2 linked regions of the Styela clava genome follow. The protein of the gene in region 1 purifies or fractionates together with the protein of each later gene. This does not show direct contact. Links are inferred from orthologs where the notes say so. Each region holds a gene or a part of one and is shown in the gene's direction. Other genes may lie near its edges.

What was found.
Region 2: the proteins of bystin-like (region 1) and RNA-binding protein PNO1-like fractionate together in Homo sapiens (co-fractionation; 4 studies listed by BioGRID and IntAct, with this or other methods). This does not show direct contact. The link is inferred for Styela clava from reciprocal best matches to the Homo sapiens genes BYSL and PNO1.

The regions. Positions count from the first base shown.
Region 1 is NC_135262.1:15,087,717-15,093,557, reverse strand, and holds bystin-like, read left to right. Parts: upstream 1-3,882; coding exon 3,883-5,193; 3' UTR 5,194-5,234; downstream 5,235-5,841. Other genes in the region: dnaJ homolog subfamily C member 27-like, read left to right, coding at 1-341. UniProt on the Homo sapiens protein: Required for processing of 20S pre-rRNA precursor and biogenesis of 40S ribosomal subunits. May be required for trophinin-dependent regulation of cell adhesion during implantation of human embryos.
Region 2 is NC_135261.1:15,432,686-15,440,213, reverse strand, and holds the start of RNA-binding protein PNO1-like, read left to right. Parts: upstream 1-4,482; 5' UTR 4,483-4,615; coding exon 4,616-4,750; intron 4,751-6,142; coding exon 6,143-6,292; intron 6,293-6,845; coding exon 6,846-6,990; intron 6,991-7,346; coding exon 7,347-7,464; intron 7,465-7,528. Other genes in the region: ornithine transcarbamylase, mitochondrial-like, read left to right, coding at 29-203, 2,084-2,221, 2,564-2,605. UniProt on the Homo sapiens protein: Part of the small subunit (SSU) processome, first precursor of the small eukaryotic ribosomal subunit.

The DNA.
Region 1 (5,841 bases):
ATTTTGAAACATCAGCCGGTACGGGGGAAGGTGTAAATGAAATGTTCCAGGCCATGTTTAATGCATTAGTAGAACTATCTGAAAATGGAGGAAAGCGTGGTCCTGTAAACACCAATCTTGGTTTTACGAAAGAACAAGCCGATGCTATATTGAGGATAAAAAATGGACGTGATAATTATGAAAAACTTGGAGTACATCATTCTGCGACAAGAGATGATATTAATAAAGCTTATCGTAAGCTTGCTGTTTTGCTTCATCCTGATAAAAATGTAGCTCCTGGAAGTGAAGATGCATTCAAACTTCTTGTCAATGCAAGAACTGCATTGTTAAAAAATAGATGATCATTTGATTTTTTGAATATTTGTGCTTTTTTTTTGTACCATATATTTATTATATGTAATATCTATCAAACGATTTGAAATTATGAAAAATATGGCCCACAGGCGTTTAAAATCTTGAGTGGGGGAATATTTCTCAATTTCTATTGGTCATAAAGGTTATTTACCTTCAACCTTAAAAGCAGTTGCATAAAAGTTACGAGAAAGAAAAGTAAAGCACATAATGATATATCTAACAACAAACCGAGGATGAAATAAGTACATACAATTTAGAATTTTTCAAATGCAATCTTATAACAGATTAAATTCGGTGTAAAAGTTCGAGAAATCCCTTTAATATATAAGTGAGTGAGTGCATGTGGCCCTTGTTTGAACAAATTTCTTTATTCAATAGTCAAATTGAAAGTTTTTTTTAAATATTGCATCCATTATATCTAATACACCTGTTAACTAAATCAATTCATCGAAATTAATTATTTGTGTTGTGAATTGTGATGTCAGATTCTTAGATATCCTCATTATTACTAAAGCTTCAAATATTCACTCCTTCTGCATAATTTTAATGGAATTTTGAGTCAGATATCTGTACAAAACACTCTCCATTAATATTAGGTGCCGGTATTTATTATTAAGAGGAGTAATATAGTTTTATGATTTTGCCTTTATTTTTTTAATTTTTAGAGAAAAATATATATTTTTCACTATATTTCAAAATTTTGTATTTGTAATATTTTGTATACTATTCTGTTTAGTTAATTCTCTATTTTACCTATAATTTTAAACAACACATTACTAACTCTTTTATCTCATATGTATTACAAAATTATTGATGTAGTTAATAATTGGTTATATCAATGTCTCCAGCTATTACACACACATGTTTGTTAAATGTAGTGGTACCACATTTATGGAAAATAGTTATTATGTTAGTCTCAGATTATACATAGTTTTTTTTTTTCAATGAAAGTGTGGAAAATAGTGGCTGGATTGGAATATGTTTTCCTAAGTTGAATTGCTTCAAAATTTACTAAAAATTCATGTCTGAGAATTTATACTACTAACCTGGGCAGTGGCGCAACCAGCGGGGGGGTTACGGGGGTCGTGTCCCCCCCGTTTGAATTTCGTTTTTTTTATTATTGTTCTACGTTAAAACAACGTCGTTCCACAGTCATAACAATCGGGTGAAAACTACTTTTTTCCAGTGCTTTATCACCTCGACGTAATTTAACACCGCCCGACTTCAATCATACTTTTTTGCTGATAGTTACGTAATAATCGCTAACGCCGCGTATATGTTTGTATTCGAAAATGAGATATGTTATCTCAAAAAAGTAGAAATCGCGCGCTGTCGATGCGAATTGAAAGCGACAATAGCATAATGCTATCTCTCTCTCTCTTGTGACGAATACTCTCGTGCTTCATCATCTTGACGCAATGTAACGCCGCCCGTCTTCATGTTATAATAATGCAGTAGAAACTCTGAAAATCTGGATACGAAAATTATTTTCGGAAAAATATTGCTTCGAATAACCTAAGATTTTCTACATATGAAAGGCCGAAAACGCCGTAAACATCCTACCGCCCCCGTCCACGTTCTGATTTAAAAACATTCCACAATTATTTCATTTTTATCGCAATCGAAAGCAGCCATGTGTGGCACGGCAATAACTAACGGTCGTCGTGAAAGGTTTTCAATAAACTCTGACTTGAAGTGCTTATAAGACGTCGAGGACGTTTTGGGTTGAAAATTTTTTACATTTGTTATCGTATATTTCAATTTAGTCAAGATATGTTGTGCGTCTCGGCAATAAACTTAAAAGCAAATCCTGTCCTAATTAATTGTTTTCATCCTCAGTTTCGATAGTTATCGAACTTAACGGGAAATTTTTTAATTTCTTGCAATCTATAAAATAGCTTCTAAATATTATTTGGTTTCTATCGGAGATTTTATCGTTATCCCGAGTCCTGACGTCGTTGATAACAATATCGTTCATTTTAAGTTGGAGGTATTGGTTTATAATCAAAAAATTATAACACATAACATGAAAAATTTAAATCAACGCTGACTCAAAAAGTAAAACACGTTTTTCCATCTTCATTCTCCATTATTGGCGGACGGAAATTTGGGAATCGGGATTAACTAATTTGATTATGATGACGATGGTAAACAAAAGTACACAAACATACTATACCGTTCTTAGTCGTTATTTCTCTGTCCTTTCTTCTTTCTATGTGCATATTAAGACCATAAAACGTGTTTTATTATTGAATTCTGCGCTGATTTGAATATTTCATGTCGGCTGTTATGTATTTTTGTTTGTAAATGAATACCGCTAACTTTAACTGAACTGATGTTGTTATCAATGCCGGATGCCAACGAAATCCGCGATAGATATTAAATACTATTTAAGGGCTATTTTATACGCGCTAAATTAGAAGAAATGAAAAAATTTTCTGTTATGTTCGGTCACTATCGAAACTGAGGATGAAAACAACTAATTAAGACACAATTTGCCGAGGACGCCTAAACCATCTCGACTAAGTTAAAATACCCGATAAGAAAATATTTTCAATCAAAAACGTCCTCGAAGTCTTATAAGTTCTTCAAGTCGGCGTTTATCGAAAGTCTTTCATGTCAGCTGTAATATATTGCCGAACCACACATGGACGACGACGCCTAGGATATGTGCGCCATATTTGGGATTATTATAAACACGAAAAAACAGTATTTGAAGTTTGCGATATTTGAATTTAAATTCGATTTGGACATCCCTGCATTAAATTAGTCAGTTTTTAGTTGTGTTTCCAAAAATTAGTTGTAAATCAATTATTTTAATTGTCATTATGTCTTCCGGTGAGCTTCAGTTTAGTTTAGAATTTTTCCGGGGTTAGGGTCGGGAAAAGGTCCATTCGCAAGAAGTGCATTTTGTTTTTAGTCTTGACGAATTCACCCAACGAGCAAGGCGCGGCACGAGGGAAACACTGGAATTTATTCAAGCCGTGTTTCACTATCCACGAGGCGCAAAGCGAGGAAAACGTTGAAAATAATTAACAGCTTTTCGTTAGCAATTCGCTGGAATGTAATGAACGGCGTTTTGCTACCCACGAGGTGCAAGACATAGCGAAGCGCCGTTAAGAACGAGTGCAAGGTAAGCGAAAGGCTGGGATTTAATCGATGGCGTTTCCCTTTTAACCATGAGCAATTTATCGTGGTCAGCGGGGCGACACCTAGTGGCGTTGCGACTTACGTCGTGGTTGCACTGTGTAAATTCCGGTCGGACCCCCCCGTTGAAAACGGCCTGGTTGCGCCACTGAACCTGGGTTCATAATTGAGTATTTGCATGTGGTAATTTATTGTTCTAATGCTTTTGCAACATATGTTCTTTAAGCCATGTGGCAAGTTTTATACAGTTACTGTTTTTTAACTTCAGGTGCTGTAAATATATATTTAACATTATAATTTATATTTTTCTGTGTGATTTCATGCTTCCACCTTTTTTATTTTAATTTTAGATTTTCAAATATTACCATAATCAAGATAAAAATGGGAAAAAGTAAAAAAGTCAAAGCGAAGCGTGCAGAGCCTCTGGCTGTGAAGCAATCAGTTGGTCTGGTTGAGGATATCACAGCAGACAATGTTACTAAGGCGGCATCAAATCGGCAACCGAAGGTTCGATTCAGACAAGAAGAAGATGATTTTGTCGATAATCGATTAACAAAAAAAATTCTTGATGCAGCAGTAAAACAACAAAAAGAACTGGAAGGAGAAGTTGGGATCGGAGCTTCAAAATTTAAAACTGTAATAAAACTAGGAAAGAAAAGTAATTCCGATTCAGAAAATGAGGATGAAGATGAGTGGCCAAGTTTAGCAGAAAGTGCTGCTCTTGCCGCTTCAGGGGAATATCAAGATCAAGACATAGTTATAAATCAAGAAGATGAAAAAGCATTACAGGCTTTTATGAATCCTGATCCACCAACAAGAAGAACTTTAGCTGATATAATCATGGAGAAAATTACAGAAAAGAAAACCGATGTCTCTACACTAATGCCTGATGTTGAAAATCCCATGCCGGATATTGATCCTAGAATCATTGAAGTTTACAAAGATGTCAAAAGCATTTTAATTAGATACAGAAGTGGGAAGCTGCCGAAAGCATTCAAAGTTTTACCACATCTTAAAAATTGGGAAGAGATTTTGTATATCACGGAGCCGGATACTTGGAGTGCAGCTGCGTTGTATCAAGCAACAAGAATATTTGCTTCAAATCTTAACGTTCACATGGCTCAAAGATTTTTTAATTTGGTTTTACTGCCACGTATAAGGGATGATATTCATTACTACAAAAGATTGAACTTTCACCTTTTTATGGCATTAAAAAAGGCGCTTTACAAACCGGCAGCCTTTTTTAAAGGAATCATTTTGCCACTATGTGAAGAAGGTACATGTACTTTGAGAGAAGCTACAATAATCTCGAGCGTCATCACAAAATGCACGATACCTGTTCTTCATGCTAGTGCAGCAATGATCAAAATAGCAGAAATGCATTATAGTGGTGGTAACAGCATTTTTCTCCGAGCTTTGATTACTAAAAAGTATGCACTACCATTTCGAGTCATTGATGCTCTTGTGTTCCACTTCTCTCAGTTTCGTAACGACAAAAGGGAGTTGCCAGTGTTATGGCATCAATGTCTTTTATCCTTTGTCGAGACCTATAGAAATGATGTCTCTGATGAACAAGCAGATAGCTTGAGAGAGTTGCTGAGGTATCAAATCCATCCTAAGATCACACCAGAAATAAGACAACAACTCATGTCCAGGGAAAGCAAAGAAATTATAATGGAGGAACCTGAATAACAATGAAGTTTAATCTTGTAATCAATAAATTATAAAATTATTTTGACTGTTTTTTGACAGTAAGCAGTGTAGCAGGTATTAGCGTTTTAGATCTCGATGCAAAACTTCACATTTTCATTTTACTTGGCAGCGAGAGGCGTGTTTTGCCATTTGATTGAGTCCCTTTAATCTGGGTGTAAAATATGAGATTCATATCCTGAGAACACTTTATCAAAAAGTTTTGCATGTTTATAGTTCGTTTGTTTAATGTCGACTCTTGGTTTTCATCAGCCGGTTGTCTCAGTAACTAGGCCCCTGAATAAGTGAGGGCAATAATTCAATACCGAAATCCCGTCGCCCTTGATGGCATATCCCAGCATGCCATCCAGCATGTTTTTTTGTTTGTTCGTAATATGATTAAGATTATACACAGTAAAGTTGTCATTATAACTGTGTAATCTGAAAAGTTCATGACCATATGGAAGCGCAAAATCTGCTGCCACGTGACAAGCGGGTTACGTGGTCCTTCCAGTGATAGGCTGAACCATGGGTCCAGGCGTCCAGCGATCCCGTCACATACTATAAACATCCACGGGAATAAATTCCGTTCACACCTCAGAATCATCTAGTAACTATGGTTCATTTGTGATGAAATTATTATATATATTA
Region 2 (7,528 bases), on another chromosome or scaffold:
TTTTAATATGACAATTTACTGGTTGCAGGGATGCAGCGGAACTTGCTTCTGAGTTTGGAACCAGAATAGAATATACAACCGATCCAGTCGAGGCTGTTCAGGGTGCAAATGTCATTGTTACAGACACTTGGGTGTCTATGGGTCAGGAGGAAGAAAAGCAAAGACGTCTCAAAGACTTCGCTGGATATCAAGTCACAATGAAGGTTATTCTTAACATTTAAAACTTTCTCATTGTGGATTTTCTGCTGATGCACAGTTGTTGATGTGTGTTTGCAAGTTTTTCTCACATTGTTACTCAGACTTCATCACTGTTTGTTCCTGCGATTAGGGCTGTCCAAAATCGAATAATTTTTTGATTCGAATCGAATATTTTGAAATGAACCGAATAATCGAATAATATTGCGCAATCCTAAATCTGTCTCTATTATACAATAAACGTCTGCCCTTCGATGTTGTGGTGACGTATGTGCAGTTACATCTTACTTACTGCTGGTATTTTGCAATACAATGTTTTCAGATTTATGAAAGGAGATCACACATTTGTATGAACTGGTCAAACAAATTGGAGGACTCCAAAATTTGGGTCTCAAACTGTTGAGATTTAAGAGCAAAAATTGCACAATTCAAAAATTGCAATCTCAATTCTAATGGATTCAGTTTTAATAGGACATTTAAAGCCTGTAGATGCTATTTTAATCCTATTCACTAGGGTGACGTTTTTTTGTGTAATTTTCAGCAAAATAATAACAACCATTAATATAGATAAAACTGTTGCTCAAATTCAAAATTGCGTTTAACAATTTCGAAGCTAGTTTGATGACTATAATATTGTTAGTGTAAAACAGCCATCAAAATTCAAGAGTGCAATTATTTGTCTTGGTATAAAGATGGATAATACAGTATTGCCAGTATAAGAAATTACAAATTCTATTGAAAGAAGGTGTTGCCATCATAAGGATCCCAGAACACCTGTTTCAGCTTTGAGTTGCCTGTAGCAAGTTCCTATGATAACTGACTTAACAGCTTCAAATAGATTCTATTTATAGAACTATGTTTTCTAAATTGCCTTTTTCTCCATGTTCTCTCTCAAAAACGTCATTACTGATAACTTTTAAGTTATGATGACCATGCATAAAATGGCTAATCACGTGCCACCGGGCGGGCATTAGGAATGACATGTTTATCACAAAATGAAGGCGAGAGAAATATCGGGAAACCAATTAAGCCTGGAGCGAGAATGGTCTAAACTCTAAAACTTCCTGCAAAGGTGGTTTCCGCTTTATGTACCTAATCTTAGCGATTCGATTTCGAATATTTGGTTCGCTTAGACGGCCCTACCTGCGATACACTGTGATTTGGTCATTGAATTTATTATACAAGACCAGTAACAGGCTGATGCAACTTCATAAAACAGCTAAAATTGAAGAGAATATTTAACTTTTGCAACAAATATTGTTAGTAACTAAATACGATATTATTGACATTAGATTTTTGAACACATGCCCATTTATTATATCTTTTTTTGAAAGGTTTTCACTTTTTTGCTTCTAGGTATGGTGAAACTATGTTTTTTGACTTAATCTTCTCATTTCAGCATAATTTATTTCGTTACACATACATACTAGTTATTGGGTTAGAACAGGGCTTCCCAAACTGGAGGTCACGACCCCAAAGGGGCATGCAAAAATTTTTAGGGGTCGCAAAGAGCACCAATTGCATACAAAGTACTTTATCTATTGTACTTTTAATTCAAAACACAATTATTAAAACTAATGGAAAACATGAATCTTACGATTTCGAGATAATACCTAGGATCAGAGAAGCAGCGCACTTGCCTAACAATGACGACTTTGATTGTGAGACCCGATAAGCGGCATGCTCTTCTGAATAGGGGGTTGCATAAAATTTCAACAAATTGGAAGGGGTTGCGAGCTTGGAAGTTTAGGAAGCCCTGGGTTAGAACATAAGCATTTCCAACTTCGGCGCTAACTCGAATATTAAATCAGGGGCGAAGCATTGGTTTCCAAATTTATGAATGTGAATCAATATTTTTATTCAAATGTCTGTATTAATATTTTCTTAGATGTGCAAGGGTGCAGCAGATGACTGGTGTTTTCTTCATTGTCTTCCACGAAAACCAGAAGAAGTTGATGATGAAGTTTTCTATTCCAAAAAATCTCTGGTTTACCAAGAAGCTGAAAACAGAAAATGGACTGTGATGGTATGAGCGTAGAAAACAATTGAGTAAACTGTTGTTTAGCATATTTTTATCATAAATATATACCATTTAATTGGTGTCTCTAAATGAGTCAATGAAATTTAAATTTCTTCACCATGCTCGCTAATATTTGTTCAGTGAGTGTATATTTTTCACATAAAATACTTGGTATTCGTGGTTGCTGCTTACTTTGCTCAGAGATCAATCCGCACAATTTTTGAGCGAGTTCCCGTGTGTGTGTGACCTTGCTTTACTCTTATAAAGCAAAATACTCTTATAAAGCAAAGCGTTAAGATTAGTTTTTGTATATATTTGATAGTTTCATCTTGTATTTCTTTATTTCAGGCTGTGCTGGTGAACTTGATGAAGGGCTATCACTTAAAGTAGAAGCTCTGGTATCGGGCATGTTGCAATTGATGAAACAGTGCATTTAACCTGTTATGGTACCTTCATTCCGATATGTCACTGCCGCCCTTGTATTATTTGAAATTTTCTAATATTCGAATAGCGATAGAAAGTCTGTGGATATGAATATTGCATTTTTTGCTTCTTCTGTAAAAAAATTTGATGAAAATTTCGACTTTGCGTGTGAAATTATTATTATTTTTTATCTTCAAGCTTATAATGGTTGCTGAAACAGAGCATCAACAGATTCAGCCCAGTTGAAATTAAGCTATGGTAGTTTACGAAACACTGTACACAATAACACAGAAGCCTCTTCAGTGTCCCTCCAATAGGTTCCCTAATTTGGAAGGAAAGATTGATGGACTTCAGTCTTGATGTTGATTCTATTTACGTTAACGGAGACTTATGTTCCTTAAAATTTACGTCCCCTCGATCATTGATTAAAGATTTTTAAGGACTATTGTTGAATTGAAATACATGCAGTTATTTTCGAGTAGAAAATCTAGTTTCAATTATTTCCAATTTGAATTTATTTCATTACAATATCTTATCCAAACGACGGCCATGTACCTTGAATACGCCACATATAACAATTAAGATAGGATAGGATTTACATATTCATCTCTGGAGAGAGAAAATCAAACAAAACGGCTTAAATATATGACCATCTCTTCCGGTTACAAGTCCCTGTCGGGTGAAAGAGAATTTATTTTTTTCGTCAAAGCAGAAAACGTGATGATTCAATACAATAGTAAATATATAATTGGACGTTACATAATGCAGTTTTCGGTTGATTACTGGGTGATAACGATACGACCATAATATGTTATGGGATTAGCTAGCCATTTATTTGTCATATGCATGGTTCACTTGATGGTGAAAAAAACCGTAACAGACCAGCGGTTATTTGAATCACCCTTATTCCGCGGCGAGGAGTCTAGCAATCTTGCACGCATAATTATACCAGCATGAGATTCGAACCCGGTGTGGTGTCGAGCGTATTCCTAACGGATTTAGAGGACCCAACAATTATTTCGTTTATTGGACACGTAGTGGACATAACGATCGTTTCAATATATATGTTCTTGTTCTTTGACACGTTTTTAAAAAGTCGCTTTTCTCTTCGAATACTGGACCAATTGCTTTGAAATTTTCAGTGGTTAAAGATAAAAATTTTCTCCAGAAGGCTATTACTTTTTTTTCTGCTATGACGTCATCAAAATTATGTAACTCTACGTGTCCATATATTTGAGCATAGCTCTCTTGTAATTAATATTGCATTATATGTTGTTTTATTATTATTTGTTATTGTATCATCATGTTTTCTGGTTCGACGAAAAAATAAATGTTCTCTCTCACCACGAAGCCTTTCAAATAGGAGTGGAATTTTTATTTTATTGGGGGAATACAAAATCCCATTCAAATAACTTAGCGAGGATATAAAAAAAATCAATATTTTCCTGATCCCAAAGAGAATGGGTCGATATGAAGTTAGGTTGGAGGTACATTCAATTTGTTTATCATTGCGTACCGTTGGGGTCCATATTATCTAACAAAAACAAATGAATAAATACAGCCAACTACAAAAATAGCACAAACTTTGTATTCTCGTATATTTGATACTTCTTAATTGAGTATTTGGAATATTGCTATCGATATTCAGTGGGCTTTAACTACGCTGTATGCCAGCATTTTTTGGGTATTTCTTACCAAAAAAAAATTCTTTTTTATGTTCACGATGAAACCAGAGCCATTATATATTTACGAATATATAACGGCTCTGATGAAACTGTATCGTGAAACCGTTTTCTCGCAAATGTAACATTCTCGCCCCGATATCTCAACGCATTCATCCGTGGCTACACACATGTTCGCTGAGCTGAGCGATTTTCAGAAAATCGATTGTCCTGTTGTTCGTTTCTGCCATCTTACAGTTTTAGCATCGGCCTGGTTGCTTTTTTGCATACCGTTTATCTAATAAATTCACATAAAATGTCGGGAGAAAGCGAAGAATTCAAAACCGTTCGGAGTAGAAAAATGAAATCTAAAAGAAAGATGGAGATGGATGATTCGGGACCCACGATCAAAAGACCACATTTTCCACAGATAAGTGGGGACAAATTATTGGTAAATAACTAATTTAATGATATAGTGGTATTAAATACTGAAACTTTGATTTCTTGAAATGGTTCTATTGCTACTTACCGGGTTTGAACTGATTAAAAATCCTGAAATCAGGATAATTTAAAAATCATTATTTAATGAGCCTTCCATCCCTTAATTGCAAAAGTTTTTAGAACTACAGTGCTTTGTTTTTACACTGAGTGAGGATGGACTATAAACGAATAATAATGACGGCCTTGGCCCAGTGGTTCGTGCATCATGCTAGTCGATGCTTTGATAGGAATACGCTTGTAATGGCATCTTTGATTACATTGCATGGATTCGAATCCTGTGGGGAATGATTATGTGTGAGAGGATTGCTGGGCTGCCCGATGGGTGGTTATACAGTTATAGCTTCTTTCGCCCATGTCCAGATGTCTGCATATGTTTAAAACAACTCATGAAATTATTGCCCTAATCGACTTGGACTGATAACCCAGACTGGATTCCATGGCAGATGCACGCCCGAGGGCGCTAGCGCTCCACAAAAATGCACGCGAGCGAATTCAATTTTGCACGCCGAAAATTTGCAATTGCTCACCAATGTAAATCGGTTTAAATAGTTTTTAAATCAATAATCTAGTAATATAAAAATGCCAAAAAATTATAACTTTACAATTGTCGACTAATACTTGCTCGCAAGATTTGGCCTGATCGAAAAATGCGAAGCAAAAATCACCATATCGTGTTGAATGATAGGAATCCCGTGAGAAAAATCGCCTCCTCACCGACGCTGGCCAGTTATGGCTCTGATTCAGCGTATTTTTAATACAATAATTTTACACGGATGTACTGAACAGTACCGGTATCTACTCTCTCTCGCACAAACACTTTCAAAATTAGTGACAAAATATAGAAATGATGTTTTGGGGGTCAAAGGTCAAACGTCCATTTTTGCTATGATCCAACTTATTTTTACGCGGATGTATTGAGAGGTATCTTAGTTCGAAATCAGTTTAGCGGGCGCAGTTGTTTTGCACGCCAGAAATTCTTATTTGCACACGGGAATTTCTGATTGCACGCCCGATTTCTCGTTCGAAAAGGCCATGAAATCCAGACTGGCTGATAACCGGACGAAATGCTGTGGTTTCCATATGAATAAGCTGCCTTATTGTATTCCCTTCTTTTAAATATGACAGTACAGTAGTATGATTTGCTCTTGGTAACGATTGGGATAATAGAGTATACTGATATTGTGTTAAAAAGGTGGTGCAGGATAAACTTTTCAGGCTTACTAGTCCGGTTCTGGCATGGGAATGTCTTTCAAAATGTTAGTTCTACAGTTCTAGGTTAACGTTTTCATTACTATTTATTCTTTTTTTGAAGAAGCTTTAATGGATTATATTATTTCACCAGGATGGAAAGAAAGATTTCAGAAAAATTCCTGTGCCAGCTAACAGATATTCACCATTGAAAGAAAATTGGTTAAAAATATATTCTCCTGTTGTTGAACAACTCAAGTTACAGATAAGATTTAACCTCAAAACTAGGAATGTAGAATTACAGGTGAATAAATCATCCTTTCTCTACGTTTCATGATGATTTTGTTCTAGAAGAAAATCTGGACATCATATTTCAATTCCAAATTTTATTTGTCGGTTGTGTTAGATTCTTGAAAACTATCGAGGTTCAACTGTATAAATGATGTGAACTAATCAGTTACCTATTTTATGATTGATATAACAACATTAAATACAATTCAACTGTCCAAAGTACAATAGCCAGTTGTTTCTTTTCATAGAGCTTGCTATAGTACCGTCTATTTTGGAAATCATCATTTCTATTCAAAATCCTTGATCATTAATAATTGCTTGTTGAATTTATCAGTCTCATTTATTTTGTGATCGCTAATATCAGATTTTTAGTCTTTGGTCGAATACAATAATTTTGTCAATTTGAATATTGATTACGGTATCTACAATACCTGTTGGGCAGCTACATTAGGGAGAATATAATTGGCTTTCCCCCAATTTTTTTACTCAAACTTATCAGCATAATAAACAATATACAAGGCAATAACCTTTGATTTTATTATAATATTTTTATAATTCTTTTCAAGACTTGCAAACAAACTACAGATATTGGAGCATTACAACGAGGTGCAGATTTTGTCAAAGCGTTTATATTAGGTTTCACTGTTGAAGATGCACTTGCGCTTGTTAGGCTTGATGAACTTTTTCTTGAATCTTTTCAGGTTACAGACGGTGAGTATCATCAATGTTGCATATATTCTTTATGTGTGATTAAATTTGCTTTAAACAGAATAACAGTAAATGAAAATTAGGTAACACACATCCTTTATGAGCTGTGTAATGACCATGTTGTTTATTAATCTGGGATTCTTTGCACATATGTTATGTTCTCTATAGAATATGTTTTAATTGACCTGGGTTCTGTTTTTGGGGGTCACTTTTTGTAACTATATTGTTAGCTGGTTAATGAATCTTAGTGGTAATTTAGTTTTTACCAAGCTCAATTCAACTCCAATCCTGTATTTGTTGTTGATTTTTGAAAATATTTTCAGATTCTTCGGCTTCATTTGTTCATATTTTTTTTTCAGTTAAGCCGTTAAAAGGAGATCATTTATCAAGAGCTATTGGTAGGGTAGCTGGTTCTGGTGGAAGAACAAAATTCACAATTGAGAATGTTACGAAATCGAGAATTGTATTAGCTGATTCGTAAGTACATTTCAAATCTTCACTTTCACACTGCAGATTAAAATTGAAACAACAAGTTGATCAT